Linked DNA regions of Drosophila melanogaster. The gene in region 1 interacts genetically with each later gene. Each region holds a gene or a part of one and is shown on either strand. Other genes may lie near its edges.

Region 1 (7,750 bases):
GGTCGGGTACTTGACCGGCATGTTTGAGTTATCGGTGCAACTTTCACGGAGTTTGCTAAATCAACATAGAAAGCGAACAGTTGCCAGACGTCCAAACCTTTGGCTTCAAAACCATTGGTTGCTTTGGATATTAGCCAGAAGATGACTCCGATAAACAATGAAATTATACAATGAATAAGACAAGGATGTGAGAACAAAGGTTGAGGGATTTATGACAGGACAGCAGGAGTCATGTGACGGCAGATTGCAGGCTGCATTTTACAAAGAAGGGTTTCCTTCAGCGGGTGAAAGTCGCTGGGTTGAGCAGGTAAATCATATTTTTCAAGGCCATCTAGGCAGGCTCTAAAAAACAGCATTTTCCGGCATATTCCACGGCCGATTAGTGAAATAACCCATTGCTTCAATGTCAGTCGGGATATTAACTTCAAGGGTTTCCGGTTAATTGCGGTACTTACCGTTGAAATCGCCACAAACGACACGCTCGAAGGGGCTTCCCATCCAGTCTGAAATTAAAAAAAGGAGGAAGAGAAAAGCAATTAATTTTCGGTTTTTCTTTGAGTTTTTTTCTAAGGAACTAAGGAGTTGTGCTTCTCATATGTGCTGCTAATGCGAAATTCCGCGCCAAACAGCCTTGAGAGCATCCCGCTGAGTAATGGAGCGTCGATCCCTCAAATCATATCTGTCCACTGCCCCCTCGGACATTTGTGCCACATGGCAGCTTTCATAAACCACTCAATCGGGCCGTTTTCAATTTAGTTGTCAGCGCCAGCCACAAAAAGCAGCATTAGCCGGCCCAATGCAGTCGGCAGTCGGCGGACCACCGGCCGAGTGAACCTCCGGCCAGTTGGACCGGCTCCACTTTAAGTAGACCACGATGGTCGGCCTGGAGGAGGAGAAGATGTCGGCGATATCGACGGAGATATGAGGAAAATACTAGTCAAGGCACTGCAAGATGGAGGGGAGAATGATGATGCGAGCCAACGACCAGACGGACTCCTCCTAATTAATAAGCAGATGAAGCTGCTCGGCATCGTTGGTGCATTTTTAATTAAAATACACAAATTTCTGGTCATTCGCCAGTCGTTGTTGCCACTTTATTTGACACACGGAAAGACGGACGGACGGGGCACAGACAATCTCTAATATGTGCAAAGATTTTGCAGGCCGAGACTTCTTTGTCGCACTGATGATTGTACAATTTATGGTGCAGACGTTTCTTATCTAGCCAAGTCAGTGTTCTGACTGCACATGGACGAAAATACGTTAATAGATACTCGGACCCATAACAAACTTCTAATATCAATATAAAATTCCAAAGTCTATTGTGCTGAATAACTAGGAATGTATTTTATAGGTTTACATTTCTGAAAAAAATGTTTCTTCAACAAGAATTTAATTATTTTGAGTCAGTAAATATATCCACGGGTTTTTAGAACCCACTGCACGTTTTCTGTCAGTGTGCCTACTTCTTAACCTTTTTGTGTCCACCTCCTCCTTTCTCCACGGAGCGTGCTGAGTTTGCGAATTCTCAATGTGGATAGCGATGGGAAACTTGCCATTTTCATGCTTTGTCGGGCTGCGCTTTTCCAGATAATTAAGAAAAGTTAACCTCTTTGCTTCTTATCAGCATAATCAGGTGCAGGCGCGCAGCTCTACTCATTTTCCAGCTTTTCCTGCGATTTCCCGCTGCTGCCCCCTTGGCAACATTGTTGATGTTGTTGTCGGAGTCGGTGCAACGATGTGAAAATGAAAATTCATTCAGACGCTTTGGCGTAAAATATTAAAATTCATTAGTTAAATTGCATTTGGCAAGCATTCAGCTGTAAAACGTTGCCGTTGTTGCAGCAATGGTTGTTGCAGTTGCTGTTGCAGTTGTTCATGTTGCCGGTGCGTCCGGGTCTGGGTCTTGGTCTTCGTCTGTGAGTTTTTTGGGTGGGTTCGCAGGCTTGGCAAAGTGAAAGCCAAACGAAAAGACTTTTCCGAAGGAGGCGAAGCGATTCTTGTGCAATCCACATGCAAGTGCATGGATATAGTGCCAAAACACATGCATATATACTTCGTACGTATGTATATACAGCTTTATGTACAGCATGTGCATTTAAGGAGTGGTGGATAAAGGGGGCTGCGTCGACGTGTCGCGCACTTGGCTGCCATAATGGCGTCATGCTCGTATTTACTTTCATCGCCGCCAGTCGCGTCTCTATGATCTCGTTGACAATTTTATCGCCTTGGCGCTGTGAGCGGGAGATATGCAAAATATTTCATTGTGCGAAATACCGTTTATCTTCCCAACTGGCCGATGCTTCGGGTTTTCTTTTCACCATCAGGTTTTGCCTGCAGAATGTGTGTATCTATTAGCTGGCCGGCCAAATACATAGGTGTGTTAGCCACATATTAATATCTTTCGGGGTATCGACGAACCAGAAACCCACTAAAATAGAGGAATGGATTTTTAATCTGCATAGATTAATAGGAGCGCTGGTTATCGATTTATTGACACCCAAATCTGGTCAAATATGTAAATTATGCTGGCAAAAAAAAAAAGACCGAGAAACTTTTGAACCTCTTTTCTCGATGATTTTAAGTTCTAATGATTTGACAAAATATACCACTTGATAAACATTGGACCCTTAAGCACACTACCTTGTTATCTCGTATTAATGCCATTATTTAAACTCTGTCTGCTAGATCGTCAATTAACAATTACTTATACTGTTTAATTAACATGCCTATGCCGTAAATTCCGCGTAAATCCGTCGCGCGATCTTTTTCTATTACGACGACCGATGTGCAGTCCATAAGTCAGGCCAATTGACAGTCTATTCATATGGTGTCTGCCATTAATCAGGAGGCATTCAACCCGCGGGGCAGAATGGAAAATTGAATTCGTTCAATTTCTTCTTGTGCAGCGTGGAAATCGAGTGGCCTGATGAGAAATGATAAATAAATCTGCTGTGCAAAATGCGCGGAAAAAGCGAGCGGATCGCGTAAATTAAACTGACCCACATAAATTTGAAGCGAGTTCGCCCGTACTACGTTAGCCGCATAAAAAGAGCGGCGGCCAAAAAGTATCTGTATCTGTATCTCTCGACGGATATGTGGATTTTGTATGCGCGGGGCACATCGCAGTGTTTTTTGGTCGGCATTTTGGGCTATACGTTTGTCGGTGTGGGGCAACCTTGAGGCTATTTAAATTACAAATCGACGCCAAATAACACGACAGACAAGAGAAGCATTTCTCAAACTATTTTCATTTTTATTTACTGCCAACTTTTTAGCTCTTCGTTCATTTCGTTTACGGATTCGAATCGCCTGGAAGACTTATGCGAAATAAACGACTTGGAAGTGCTCCGCAAAGTGTTCATTACGAATTGGAATTGTAGGCGAAATGGCGGTGCAAATGGGAATGCTATTGGGGAACGTTTGCGCCACGTTTATCTATTGTTTATAAAAGGTACGCAGCAACCATTCCAAATACTACACTTGGGAAATTTAATTCGATAATTCGACTGGACGCTTTTTGTTAGGTCATACAATTTGTAAATCAGTTCGAACCTGGTTTAAGTCTACGGGTTGTTAAACAACTTAGCTGTTTAAATTTTTTAATTATAGTATTTAACCTAACATAGCGACTAAATAATTCAATCCAATATAAGTTCTTACAATTTTTTATTTGATTTTTTGATTTCAGTGTAAGTGGCCATGATTTATATGTACACAAAAAATTTTAAGAGATCGCTTTGTAGATCTTGAAGGCAATTTATTCTTGATTTAAGACGATATACATTCCCTGAAGTGCACGGATTATTTCTGATTTTATAATGATTGGCATGATATATAGAACACAGTAGATACGATAGACAGACTCTTAATTTAAAAGACTGATTGATTGGCTCAGTGTGATAAACTTGTATTGGGATATGTGTGATTCTCAATTCTAAAAATCGGATAACTTTCAAGATTTATCAAATTTGGCACTCACATTCAGATCCGAAGTCTTTCACAAAGAGTCCGAATCTGGCAGTTATTTTTTTACTTATGTATAATATATCTCCGCACTATCGAGTATCGAGTTTTGACTCACCTGTAAGCGTCATCCAGGGATACCTGGGCAGATCGGCGATACCGGCTCCGCCCGCTCCCCCTGCCCCTGGCATCACGCCGGAGGCGGGCTGTGTGCAGGCATTTCCCAGCGAGTCCACGCCGATCGCGCCGGCACTGGCCGCGGATACCGCGGATGCGGCGGCTGTGGCATGTTGATAGAACTGAGCGAACTGTGCAGATGCCGAGGCAGGTACGCTCATCGACTGGTAGCTGTTCATGACAGTGTCCGTGTACCTGCTGTGGGTGTGGGAGAGAGAAAGTAGCCATTATTGTTGGTGATCCCTGCTCTCATAGTACGTTCCCAACTCCAGCGCCCGTACTAAAGTCAAATGCTAATGAGGTGGCCATTTGCATGCCCCTTTCACCAAACTGCGGTTAGCTCTAATTGCACACTAATCCCGAACACGCCCACGCACAGCAGGGTTCACTGTACATGCACATGGAGTGCCCATACAGTAGTACTAATATGCAAATGGCCGCAGCGGAAGGTCAGCGTGCGTGCGAATCTTGTGGCCGGCGACAAATTGCCAGCGGCCACCACAGGCTGCTCTAATTTTCCGACTTTATGGCCATTCAATATGAATGGCCGGTGGCCGAGAGGAAAATGGACAGAGTCCCAGGATCCGAGACCCGATAATTAGAGCGCATTCGAAACGGATTTGCGGTTTTGCAGTGTTTGCAGATTTTACTGAAGGTCTCGACTGGCATTTCCGCTCGCCAAATTGAGAGCACGCGAAATTAGTTCTTGGAAGAGCTGAGTGTTTCTTTTTTTTTGTATTTTCAACCCCGGAAACATCTTCTTAAAGGTTTTGAAGCCAGGTAAAGCTAATGGTCATACTAAATTTGCATATATTTTAAAATATGATACTGTCTGAGAAGTTCTATCAATGCACTCCAAATATTTGAATATCATATTAGATAGTATAGATCATTTGTCATTGACTTTATATTTGCACTTCCTATTAGGGTCATTTAAGATCATTTTACTACGATTGGACATAAAACCCATCCCGATTTATAAAAATCTGCATTATCCCATACTTAAACAGGGCAATCTATCTTACCTGCACGACTTATCCTCCAGTCCGGTGAAGCCGGCCATTCCGGAGAGCCCTCCATGGCTGCTAGGGTGGTTAGACACGTACGGATACATCTTGCTGGTGGGGATGGCAAACGAGGAGCTAGCCGCAGCGGCGGCGGCGGCTGCAGCAGCAGCGACGGAACTGGCCGCGGATGCGGAGGCGGACGCGGATGCGGACCCGGGAGAGTTGTCGTTGAGGCTGCGGTGTAGCGAGGAGCTACCGGATGCCGAGGGCGATGGGGAGCAGCTGCTGTCGCCCGCTTGAGAATTGCCCGCTGACGGGGGCGTTAGCAACAGTTGCTGGTGGGCGTGTCCGTGCGAGGCAACTGCGGCGGCGGCTAGTTTGCTAATGTGGTGTTGTTGCTGCTGTAGCTGAAGAGCGGCCGAGAGCGAGGAGTATTGGTGGTGGTGTTGCTGCTGCTGGTGGTGCAGATGTTGCTGCTGCTGGTGGTTCAGGTGTTGCTGCTGCACCTGTGGGTGGTGCTGCTGGAAGGGCGACGATGAGGAGACGGGTGAGTGGGGCGATTGGCCCAGATGTTGGCTCAAATGGCTCGGCGATAGGGATCCTCCGCTCAAATTGAGATTACTGTTGTTGTTGCTGCTGCTGCTTGGACTGCTGCTGCTATTGTTGGTGTTGCTTGTGTTGCTTCCAGCGATCGTGTTGCTGCTGTTGTTGTTGCTGCTGCTGCTGGCTGAAACGCTGGCGGATGCAGAGGCGGCGGCGGCGGCTAGGGCGGCGGCAACTGCTGCAGATGACGAATTCGGGGGGGTGGTGGTTAAGTGGTGCGAACTGATAAACGGCTGGAACTGTGGATACTTTGGCAGCATACTATCGAAAACAAATTTTGACATTGCACATATTTTGCTCTCTGGCCGAGGATCGGATCTTCGGAATTTCGTTTAGTCCACTTGTTGTTCTATTTTAGTTTCGGAGATTTCTGAGTTCGAATGATTTGGGTTCTTTATCTGAGTCGTTTGGTTAATGGCTAGATTGAGTATTTCGTTTTATAATTTAAAGTTTCCTCTTTGTGTGACTTTAACAAATTTTGTTTGAATTCAGCGTGGAGAGGAGCGCTTTCTAGCCATAATAAAACAAAAGTTCCGACTACTTCTGTAAGCACAACCTAAATCTTAAACTTGAATGACTTTATAATTCAACACTGTGAGAAATAGCATTTTAAAAATATCTTTTTCTTTAACTTTTTCATAAGATTTACACAGCAATTTAATTTGTATCAATGTCTATTAAAATTTACTTGTCTTTAATGAACATCTCCCGTCTCTGTATTTAACTTTTCTACTTCATAATCGAATGCAAACTACATTGGACTTAGTATATAAATCACTAACAAAATTAATCGAATTAAAAGGTACTAAAAACAAAAATAAACTTGGCGTCCAATGTGATAAACAAGAATTAAAAATGGCAAAACAAAAAATATAACATGTTTATAAAAATTACTCGGAAACCATAAAAAGAACATTAACCAAATTGAATATGTTTGGATTGAACATAAATCTTTCGGGTAGCATGATACAGAACTCAAGTGAAAAAAATATATAATCCAAATGCTTTATATATTTTTCAGCTAGATTTCCCTGCCAGTGCCAACGAGTTAGTATGTGGGTTACTTTTACAGTACTATATGAGATGGCCAACAGTTAGTACTTTTTAGATAGAGTTAGTGAGACAGAATTCGGAAACTTTGCCAGCTGCCCGACTTTAAGCTACTTTTCTCGATTCCGAGAAGTGAAATGCATTTTGTTACCTTTCTCAAGTTTTCTCTAGCGAACTTTTGGCGAGCAGCTTGTATTTGCAGCTTTTCTGTTTCTGTTACTTTTTTCGCTCGAAGCTGGCGAATTCACAACGAAATTTGTTAAATTTGCATATGGTCTCGGGTTGCGTTGTATTTGCAGCTGTGGCACAAGTGTGTGTGTCGCATGTGTGTGTTTGGGGTGTGTGTATCTTTTATTTGTTGTAAAAGCAATTAAAATGCGGTCATCAATTACGCGGAAATTCGAATGGACGTCGTGCCGGCGGGATTTCGTACGTGTGATTTATAGGCGCGCGATCTTTTTTAATGGCACTCTTGTATTTTTATGGCAGAGTGAGTTTCCTGCGGCTTTTAACGACTTCTCAAGTGCGTGAGTGTGTGTGTGGCCGGAGAAATGCTTTCTCCCAACGTTTTGCTTTAATTACTTTGTTTAAAATGTCATAAAACACTTTGCAGGTAGAACTATCGAAGTCTGGAACGGAGAGGCGAGAACCTTTTTACGATGTCAACTTTATGTCTTTTTAATTTTTACGAACCGCACACAGTGAGTTATAAACCATAGTGTTTTGACAGTTTTTTCGGTTTTAAATTTCACACACAATTTTATTATATTTTACGCGATCTATAACATTTAAGTGACAATAAGCCGGCGGCCGAAACGGAACAATAAACACGGCGAATCGGAAACTGAATCGTATTGCCGCACTACAGTCGTATAGTCGTATAATCGTATAATCCGAATCGGAATCGGAGGGCCGAAATTCCAAAGAGTGGAGAGCTGAGTTCCGCA
Region 2 (8,089 bases), about 10 Mb from region 1:
TCCTCCACTTAGATTGTACCAAAATGGAGAATGTAGAATCTTACGGATCATCTGATAGGCTACTCGGGGCTACAATCTCGTCTGAGAGATTTGTTTTTGGGTGGACTTATGCTATTCCCTCCCAGAAAACCTAGTTTTAGTTTACATAAGCCCGGGCGATCGTAAATCTGTGCTATATAGCACGTAGCTCGGGGGATATGACCGATTTTATAGCGGGCGATTGGATTAGCTTGAAGTGACACTGTTTTTACAATCAGGGATCAGGGTCGGATCGCTTAGCAATGCTAAGCAGGTAGCTCAACCCTTAGATATTCATAACTGACGCGGAAAACCCCGGGAAAAACCAAGACCTTTCCCGTTCATGGCCAAAACATACCTGGCCGGGGGATTGGGGTCTCGAAGGCATGAAAAAAGCTGGGCAGATCCGTAGGTATATAGGTAGGTAGGACTATCAGTGGATATTTTGGATGACAAAGTGAACTTAGAACACACTTATTTTCAAATGATAGTCAGTTTTTATTTGGATAAGAATGGAAATATTTCTCAATACTGAAATATTATTTATCTATAAGCTATCTCGTAGGCCTAAAGTTGATTTAAAATTAAAATAATTTTTATCTAAGAGTTAACGTTTAGGTGCCTTGAAAATGGAGATGTATTTTAATGTTTTCATCACAAAATGTTTCAGATCTTAAAATATATTACATTTGATTTTTTGCAAGTATTTATTTGACGAACTAAATAATATCATATAAATAAAACAAATAGATCCAGACGTAACATTAATATCCCCTGAATAATATTTCTCCGTGTGACGCTACTTAGAAGTACGTCGGTTTCTCTGGAGCCTGGAACTCACCTTGATTCGGAGCCAGGCTCAAAAGGACGCGACATCTACCAGCCCAGACCAGCCGTCTGGGAATTTGAAAGTGTCGCAGGCGGGACAGGTAGGAACCAATCCGATCCGTCACGAAGGGCTTCTGGGGTATATAAGCAAATAAGGAGAATCTAAAGGTATCTAGTTAAAAAACATCGGCCACAGCGGTCAGAAGCCAACAAATCGCGCTCTTCAAGAAAAATGTTTGCCATTCAAAGCGAAAACTATTTTGTGGACAATTACTCAGTCAGTGATTTAATGGTGGGATTTAAAAAATTACTGCTTATTTAAATAAAAACTAAGATTTAATTGATCTATATATTTATAGATGTATCCTTGCGTCGAGTTAAACGTAGAAGCCGCTCCCACGGCAACAACAAGGTCTTCGGAGAAATCAAAGAGATCTCGCACGGCATTCAGCAGTCTTCAGCTAATCGAACTAGAAAGGGAGTTCCATCTCAACAAATATTTAGCCCGAACCAGGCGAATCGAGATATCACAGCGTTTGGCACTCACAGAGAGACAGGTTAAGATCTGGTTCCAAAATCGTCGCATGAAACTCAAGAAGTCGACCAATAGGAAGGGTGCCATTGGAGCGCTGACCACATCTATTCCACTTTCTTCCCAGTCGAGCGAAGATCTTCAAAAGGACGACCAGATCGTAGAGCGTCTCCTTCGATATGCCAACACAAATGTGGAAACAGCTCCACTCCGGCAGGTTGATCACGGTGTCCTGGAGGAGGGTCAAATTACACCACCCTATCAGAGCTACGATTACCTCCATGAATTTTCTCCTGAGCCCATGGCTCTTCCCCAACTGCCCTTCAATGAATTCGATGCTAACTGGGCGAGTTCATGGCTGGGCCTTGAGCCAACGATTCCTATCGCAGAAAATGTAATTGAACACAATACACAGGATCAGCCAATGATACAGAATTTCTGCTGGGACTCGAATAGCTCTTCTGCTTCATCGTCGGATATTTTGGATGTTGACTATGACTTTATTCAAAATTTGTTGAACTTTTAAATATATCTTTGACTATATGTTTAGGCAACTGTACATACATACATATATAATCATTGTATTATACGAGCAATATCTTTCTGTGACTACATTATTATTACTTATTTTGGATGAAATAAAATATGTTTTATAATTAATGTGCGCATTTATTTGTTCAAACAAAAAATGCTGGTTGTGCAGCATTTGGGGATACATTTTGCGGACTCGATTTTCAAAAATTTCACCACCAGACAAATCAAATATTTTTAGACAAAATTCCATTTTAGTGGGCGATACAGTTGAGAAACTAAATAAGCTTGACTTGTTAAAACATTTATTTATATGATATTTATAATGAATGGCCTTGGCTTTTTATTTTACTTAATGCTTCCTCAAAGTTTCTGTATTTTTCACACATATATCTTTTTCACAATTTTAAACAATCTCATGGTGCGCATCGTCATTACGTAGACTGCCGATCACATAGCTCCCTGCTGTCAGACAACTTGTTCGTCAGAGCGTCCAAGTACGAACACCACCCCCAGCTGCAGTGCAAAATCGTGGCAATATTTTTACACCTGTAGTGACACCCGTGTGCATTAAAATCCGCACATAATTACAAACTCTGCGCGGACTGGATTGGAGAACGTTAGCAAAAAGAGGGCGAAAAAGCGGCCAAAAGGCAAAAAGCAATGCCACCAAGATTGACAGGAGAAGAGGCGCCCAAAACAAAAAGAGCGATGAGCGAAGCAAAATGTCAAAAATACCCATAGCCGAAAGCCAAAAAAGCCGGAGAGCGAGAAACTCGCTACTGTGGCTTTTTCTTTTCATTTTTTAGCAGATGCGAAATGTGTAAATAAGAAAAACCAAATAAATTCCGTCACAAGCAACACGTTCGCGTTGGAAGTGGAAAAAAGTGAATGAGGCAAGAAAACGCCGCGGAAATGATGGCCCAAGATACAGGGGTTCCCGAGCTACACGACCGCAAAGATACAAAACAAACTGCCGAGCCGGCCAATCAGAGGGCCGGAGACTTGTGCGCCGGTGTGTGTGAACTCCACCCCCTGGTCTCTGCGCGTAATGGCTATAGTAACCAGTTTCCAGATGGCACCGCGCATGTGCCGACCAGGAAAAAGCGTGATGGATGCGGTGGCTGTCGCTTAGGCCACTCCTTGATACTGGGTCCCAAAATCCCAGTTCAGTGCGTTCGGTGCTATTGGATGGAATGGTTGTTGGCTGCTATCTAGCTCTCGGGAACCGCACGAAGCTCCCCAAAAGCCCTCTGTCTCGCTCTCGCTACGAATCGGTTCGGTATCTAAAAAATAATATTTATTAAAATGACAGCTACAAAAATAGTTCAAAAATTTTGAAAACTAAAAAGTGATATTATTAAAACGAGTTGAAACCAAAAGTTTTACTATACGGTTGAGAAGCACTTTAGGAACCCCTGGAAACCCGGTTCTGCGCACCTCTTGAAGGCCAGAGAGGGACAGCTAGTGCCCACATGTGTATGAGTGCGAGTGGAGAAAACTATCTCAGACGAATTGCAACGACTGAGTGTGTGTCTGTGTGTGGCCATTGCAGCGATCGCAGCGACTCTACAAAACTCTACAAAATCAACACATTCCGCATACGCACCGTTGTACAGCGCGTACTTGCACTATTGTCGTTATCGCCGTTGTTTCGTCGGTTGTGTTGGCCTTTCGCGTCGCCATGGCTGCCAAAAGGTGTGTGTCTATGTCAACCTGAAAGCGAAAAACCAACTCCAAACACCACTTGACGGTTGAGCAAACACAACGGTGGCCATATTTACATTCGGATCTGGGTTCCCTCGCTCTCGTCGCGGTTGTCGCCTCTTTTCGCGGCCCACAGATAAGCCCTGACACACTGAAGTTTTACGCAAAACCCGCATCGCAAAAGTTGTGCCGGTTGAAACTAAAAAAAAAAAACAAACAAAAAGTTAAGCCAGTTACTATGAGCGAGTGCAGACAATAGTGAAAACGGTGACCCAAGTGATACCGGTGAAATTTCCACAAAGAACGCATATGTCAACGTAAGAGGAGAAATATGGAATACTGTGGTCTGTAAATGATCAACTTAATATGGTACGAAATTATCTTACACATATTTCTTACCTACATTTAAAAATAAGTGTATCCTTTTAAAGCACGAGAAAATCAAAGCGTGTCGTTATTTCGTTTTTGATACAACATGTTAGTCTAAAATACGAGCCTTTTAAGTCGGCAAAATGTTTACTGCAAGAAATATTTCAAATCTTTAATTGGCGGAATCGGAAAATATATTCGAATTTTCTTATTCATTTATACTTCCTAGGAAATTAGCTATGCGGCATTTCTTAGATGAGGATATGTAACAGCTTTATAACTTTTTCTGTTTAAAATATGTTAATTTATTTACTGACTATTAATCCTTAAAAAAATAATGTAAAATAATGTATGCGAACCAAGCCAATTTAGGTAACATTGTAGGACAGGTTGTATGTATTGTACATACATACAATACATATTGTCAAATCTCAATCGAAATTAGGTGGCCATAAATTTAAAGTGAAGGCCTAACAATTTCTATAAGAGCAATAGTAAAAATGCAGACTACAAATGAATTTCTGGCACAGAAAACTGAGAGACTAATGAAATATAAATTGGAATATGTAATTTAAAAATAGTCAAGTTTTTGACAGTTGCAATGTGAAAAATTGGATCGGTAATAATAAAATAAACATTGATTAGCATAGTAAAGTGACGATGTTTTTGTTTCTTAAAATGTTAATGAAGATAATGACATATCTTAATGAAGTATATACGTACATTATATTGAAATTATATATATTCAAAATATATAAATAAAAATTCAAAAATTATAAATATAATAATAAAATAAACATTGAATAGCATAGTAAAGTGACGATGTCTTTGTTTCTTAAAAGGTTAATGAAGATAATGATAACATATCTTAATGAAGTATATACATACATTATTCAATTTCACATTCGATAAGAACAGTGAAACCTCTAACTTCCTGGGAACTGAATCGTGATAACATTATTATGAGATTACAAAAATGGCTTTCCTTTCCAGGTTCCCAAGCTGAGGAACATCTAATACGCTCAGGAATTGAAATAGAAAGAATCTAAAAAAAATTATACCCAAGCTATGCAAGAAGTCTGCAGCTCCTTGGACACGACCTCAATGGGCACCCAAATCAAATCGGAATCTCCACTCAACCCGCTGCAGGTGCAAACTGGACAGACGTCCCTGCCAGTGGGTGGTTGCGGTGGTGCGGGCGTCGTGGGTGGTGTGGGTGGCGTGGGAGTGAGTGTTGGTCAGCCTGGTATCGGACAGCAGGGGGTGCCACCTGTGCCGTCGGTGCTCATGGTCAACAAGATGACCCCGAACTGTGATAAACGGAGCGCGGACACGGCCTATTGGATGACAGCATCCGAGGGCGGGTTCATCAATTCGCAGCCGTCGATGGCTGAATTCCTCAACCACTTGAGTCCGGAGAGTCCCAAAATCGGAACACCTGTTGGATCCGGCGCCATTGGCGGAGTAGGCGTCAACGTTAATGTCAATGTCGGCGTCGGAGTCGGATATCCGGTTGGCGTTGTCCCTCAAACGCCGGATGGAATGGACTCGGTGCCGGAGTATCCCTGGATGAAGGAGAAGAAGACATCCCGCAAGAGCAGCAACAACAACAATCAGGGTAAGTCCACATGCACATTACACTGGGGGAAGCATAAGGTTTTTAATTTAGCGATCGACCATGTCAATTTGAACACCATTCTCTGAAGAATAGGCGATAATCTCATCAGTCCATCTCAAACTATTGAATCAATCAAATAAAAAGTAAGATATTTTTATAGACACTTTTCCATATCAGTTTAGACCGGAATCAATTGGGTTCTCTTGTCCCGGCCATTTTTTCTTGCCGTGTACTGGCTGGTGAAATGCGAAACTCTCATTAATCACGAGCTCACAGAAACCTAAAGACTCCAATAGCGCCAATTATGCCACTACGAAGTCCCTCTGGCACCTGGTTTCGAAGTGATGAAGAAAGAGCCAGTGCTTTCGCTGACCATTTACAAAATGTATTCCGACCAAATCCCTCTACCAACACATTTATTCTCCCTCCTTTAATAGCAGCCAATCTAGATCCTCAAGAACCCTTTGAATTCCGACCATGTGAACTAGCAAAGGTTATCAAAGAGCAACTGAACCCAAGAAAATCGCCTGGCTACGACCTAATAACTCCAAGAATGCTCATTGAACTCCCAAAGTGTGCTATTCTTCACATCTGCCTGTTGTTCAACGCAATCGCCAAGCTTGGATACTTCCCTCAAAAATGGAAAAAGTCGACCATAGTAATGATTCCAAAGCCAGGAAAAGATAAAACGCAGCCATCATCATATAGACCGATAAGCTTACTAACATGTCTTTCAAAGCTGTTTGAAAAAATGCTACTCCTTCGGATTAGCCCTCATCTTAGAATAAACAACACACTTCCAACACATCAATTTGGCTTTAGAGAAAAACATGGAACCATCGAACAGGTCAACCGAATCACGTCAGAAATTCGTACTGCTTTTGAACATCGAGAATACTGCACAGCCATTTTTCTAGACGTCGCGCAGGCATTTGACAGAGTGTGGCTCGATGGACTTTTGTTTAAAATAATCAAGCTGTTGCCCCAAAACACACATAAGCTACTGAAGTCATACCTATATAACAGAGTGTTTGCAATAAGATGCGATACAAGCACTTCACGCGATTGCGCAATCGAAGCTGGAGTGCCGCAAGGCAGTGTACTGGGTCCAATCTTATACACCCTGTATACGGCGGATTTCCCCATAGACTACAATCTAACAACCTCCACGTTCGCTGATGATACCGCGATACTCAGTCGCTCGAAATGCCCAATAAAAGCCACGGCACTCCTATCCCGACACTTAACATCTGTAGAACGATGGCTTGCCGACTGGAGAATTTCAATAAATGTTCAAAAATGCAAGCAGGTTACCTTTACCTTAAACAAACAAACATGCCCACCACTGGTCTTGAATAACATATGCATTCCACAAGCCGACGAGGTAACATATCTGGGAGTTCATCTGGACAGGCGGCTCACTTGGCGCAAACATATAGAAGCCAAATCGAAACATCTTAAACTTAAAGCAAGGAACCTCCACTGGCTCATAAATGCTCGCTCTCCACTTAGTCTGGAGTTCAAAGCTCTTCTATACAACTCCGTCTTAAAACCTATCTGGACTTATGGCTCCGAGCTGTGGGGCAACGCATCCAGAAGTAACATAGACATTATTCAGCGAGCACAGTCAAGAATTCTGAGAATTATCACTGGAGCGCCGTGGTACCTTCGGAACGAAAACATACACAGAGACCTAAAAATCAAATTAGTAATCGAAGTAATAGCTGAGAAAAAAGCGAAGTATAACGAAAAGCTGACCACCCATACAAATCCCCTCGCAAGAAAACTAATCCGAGTATGCAGTCAAAGCCGGCTGCACCGCAACGACCTCCCAGCCCAGCAATAAACTTATTAGGGCATTAATGAAAAAAAAAAACTATCACTAAGTGAAAGTTAATTAAGTTAGATTAAGATTTGAACACTTATTGTTAGTCTCTTAACACAAAGGGAAGATTCAATAAATAATAAAAAAATTAAAAAAAAAAAAAAAAAAAAATCACGAAATCAATGCAATTTACCTTGCATTAAATGAGGCACAGCATGGCGGCGCCTTCGCCACTTCCCGTCCAGAAAAACAGGGCCAGAACTCGATGTCCGTACTGCCCGATCCCGATCCCACTCCCAATCCTCCCTGCACCTTTACCACGCCACTCGATCACGCACCGAGAGGGTTCGGCTCCTTTGATGGACAGCTCGGTCTGTGCCGGCAAAGATCTGTTATTTGAGATCATTTGTAACAATTTTCGAGAGTAGAGCGGACCAAGCTGGAAATGTTTCATTTATTTCCCTTCGCTTCGACTCGAGTCGAATGTGTCGATTTCATTTGCGCAAGAAATACGAAAAGCGACGAGCAGAGTACAAAATATAAAAAAAAAAAATACAGAAAAATACGGCTGGACTAGGGATCGAGGCAGCCGCATTTAAAATAAATGAGGTATCAAGGTTGTCCGACCATACGTTTTCCTGTCCGACTTGCCCAAAACCCG

The links.
Region 2: of abd-A (region 1) and pb, changing one suppresses a phenotype caused by changing the other (phenotypic suppression), as found in Drosophila melanogaster (one study listed by BioGRID).

What each region holds. Positions count from the first base shown.
Region 1 is NT_033777.3:16,821,967-16,829,716, forward strand, and holds the start of abd-A (abdominal A), read right to left. Parts: upstream 6,140-7,750; 5' UTR 6,038-6,139; coding exon 5,169-6,037; intron 4,342-5,168; coding exon 4,085-4,341; intron 504-4,084; coding exon 456-503; intron 1-455. UniProt on the Drosophila melanogaster protein: Sequence-specific transcription factor which is part of a developmental regulatory system that provides cells with specific positional identities on the anterior-posterior axis. Required for segmental identity of the second through eighth abdominal segments.
Region 2 is NT_033777.3:6,737,064-6,745,152, reverse strand, and holds the start of pb (proboscipedia), read left to right. Parts: upstream 1-3,089; 5' UTR 3,090-3,985; intron 3,986-4,978; 5' UTR 4,979-5,053; coding exon 5,054-5,603; intron 5,604-8,089. Other genes in the region: zen2 (zerknullt-related), read left to right, coding at 1,079-1,138, 1,206-1,904. UniProt on the Drosophila melanogaster protein: Sequence-specific transcription factor which is part of a developmental regulatory system that provides cells with specific positional identities on the anterior-posterior axis. Controls development of mouthparts, and labial and maxillary palps.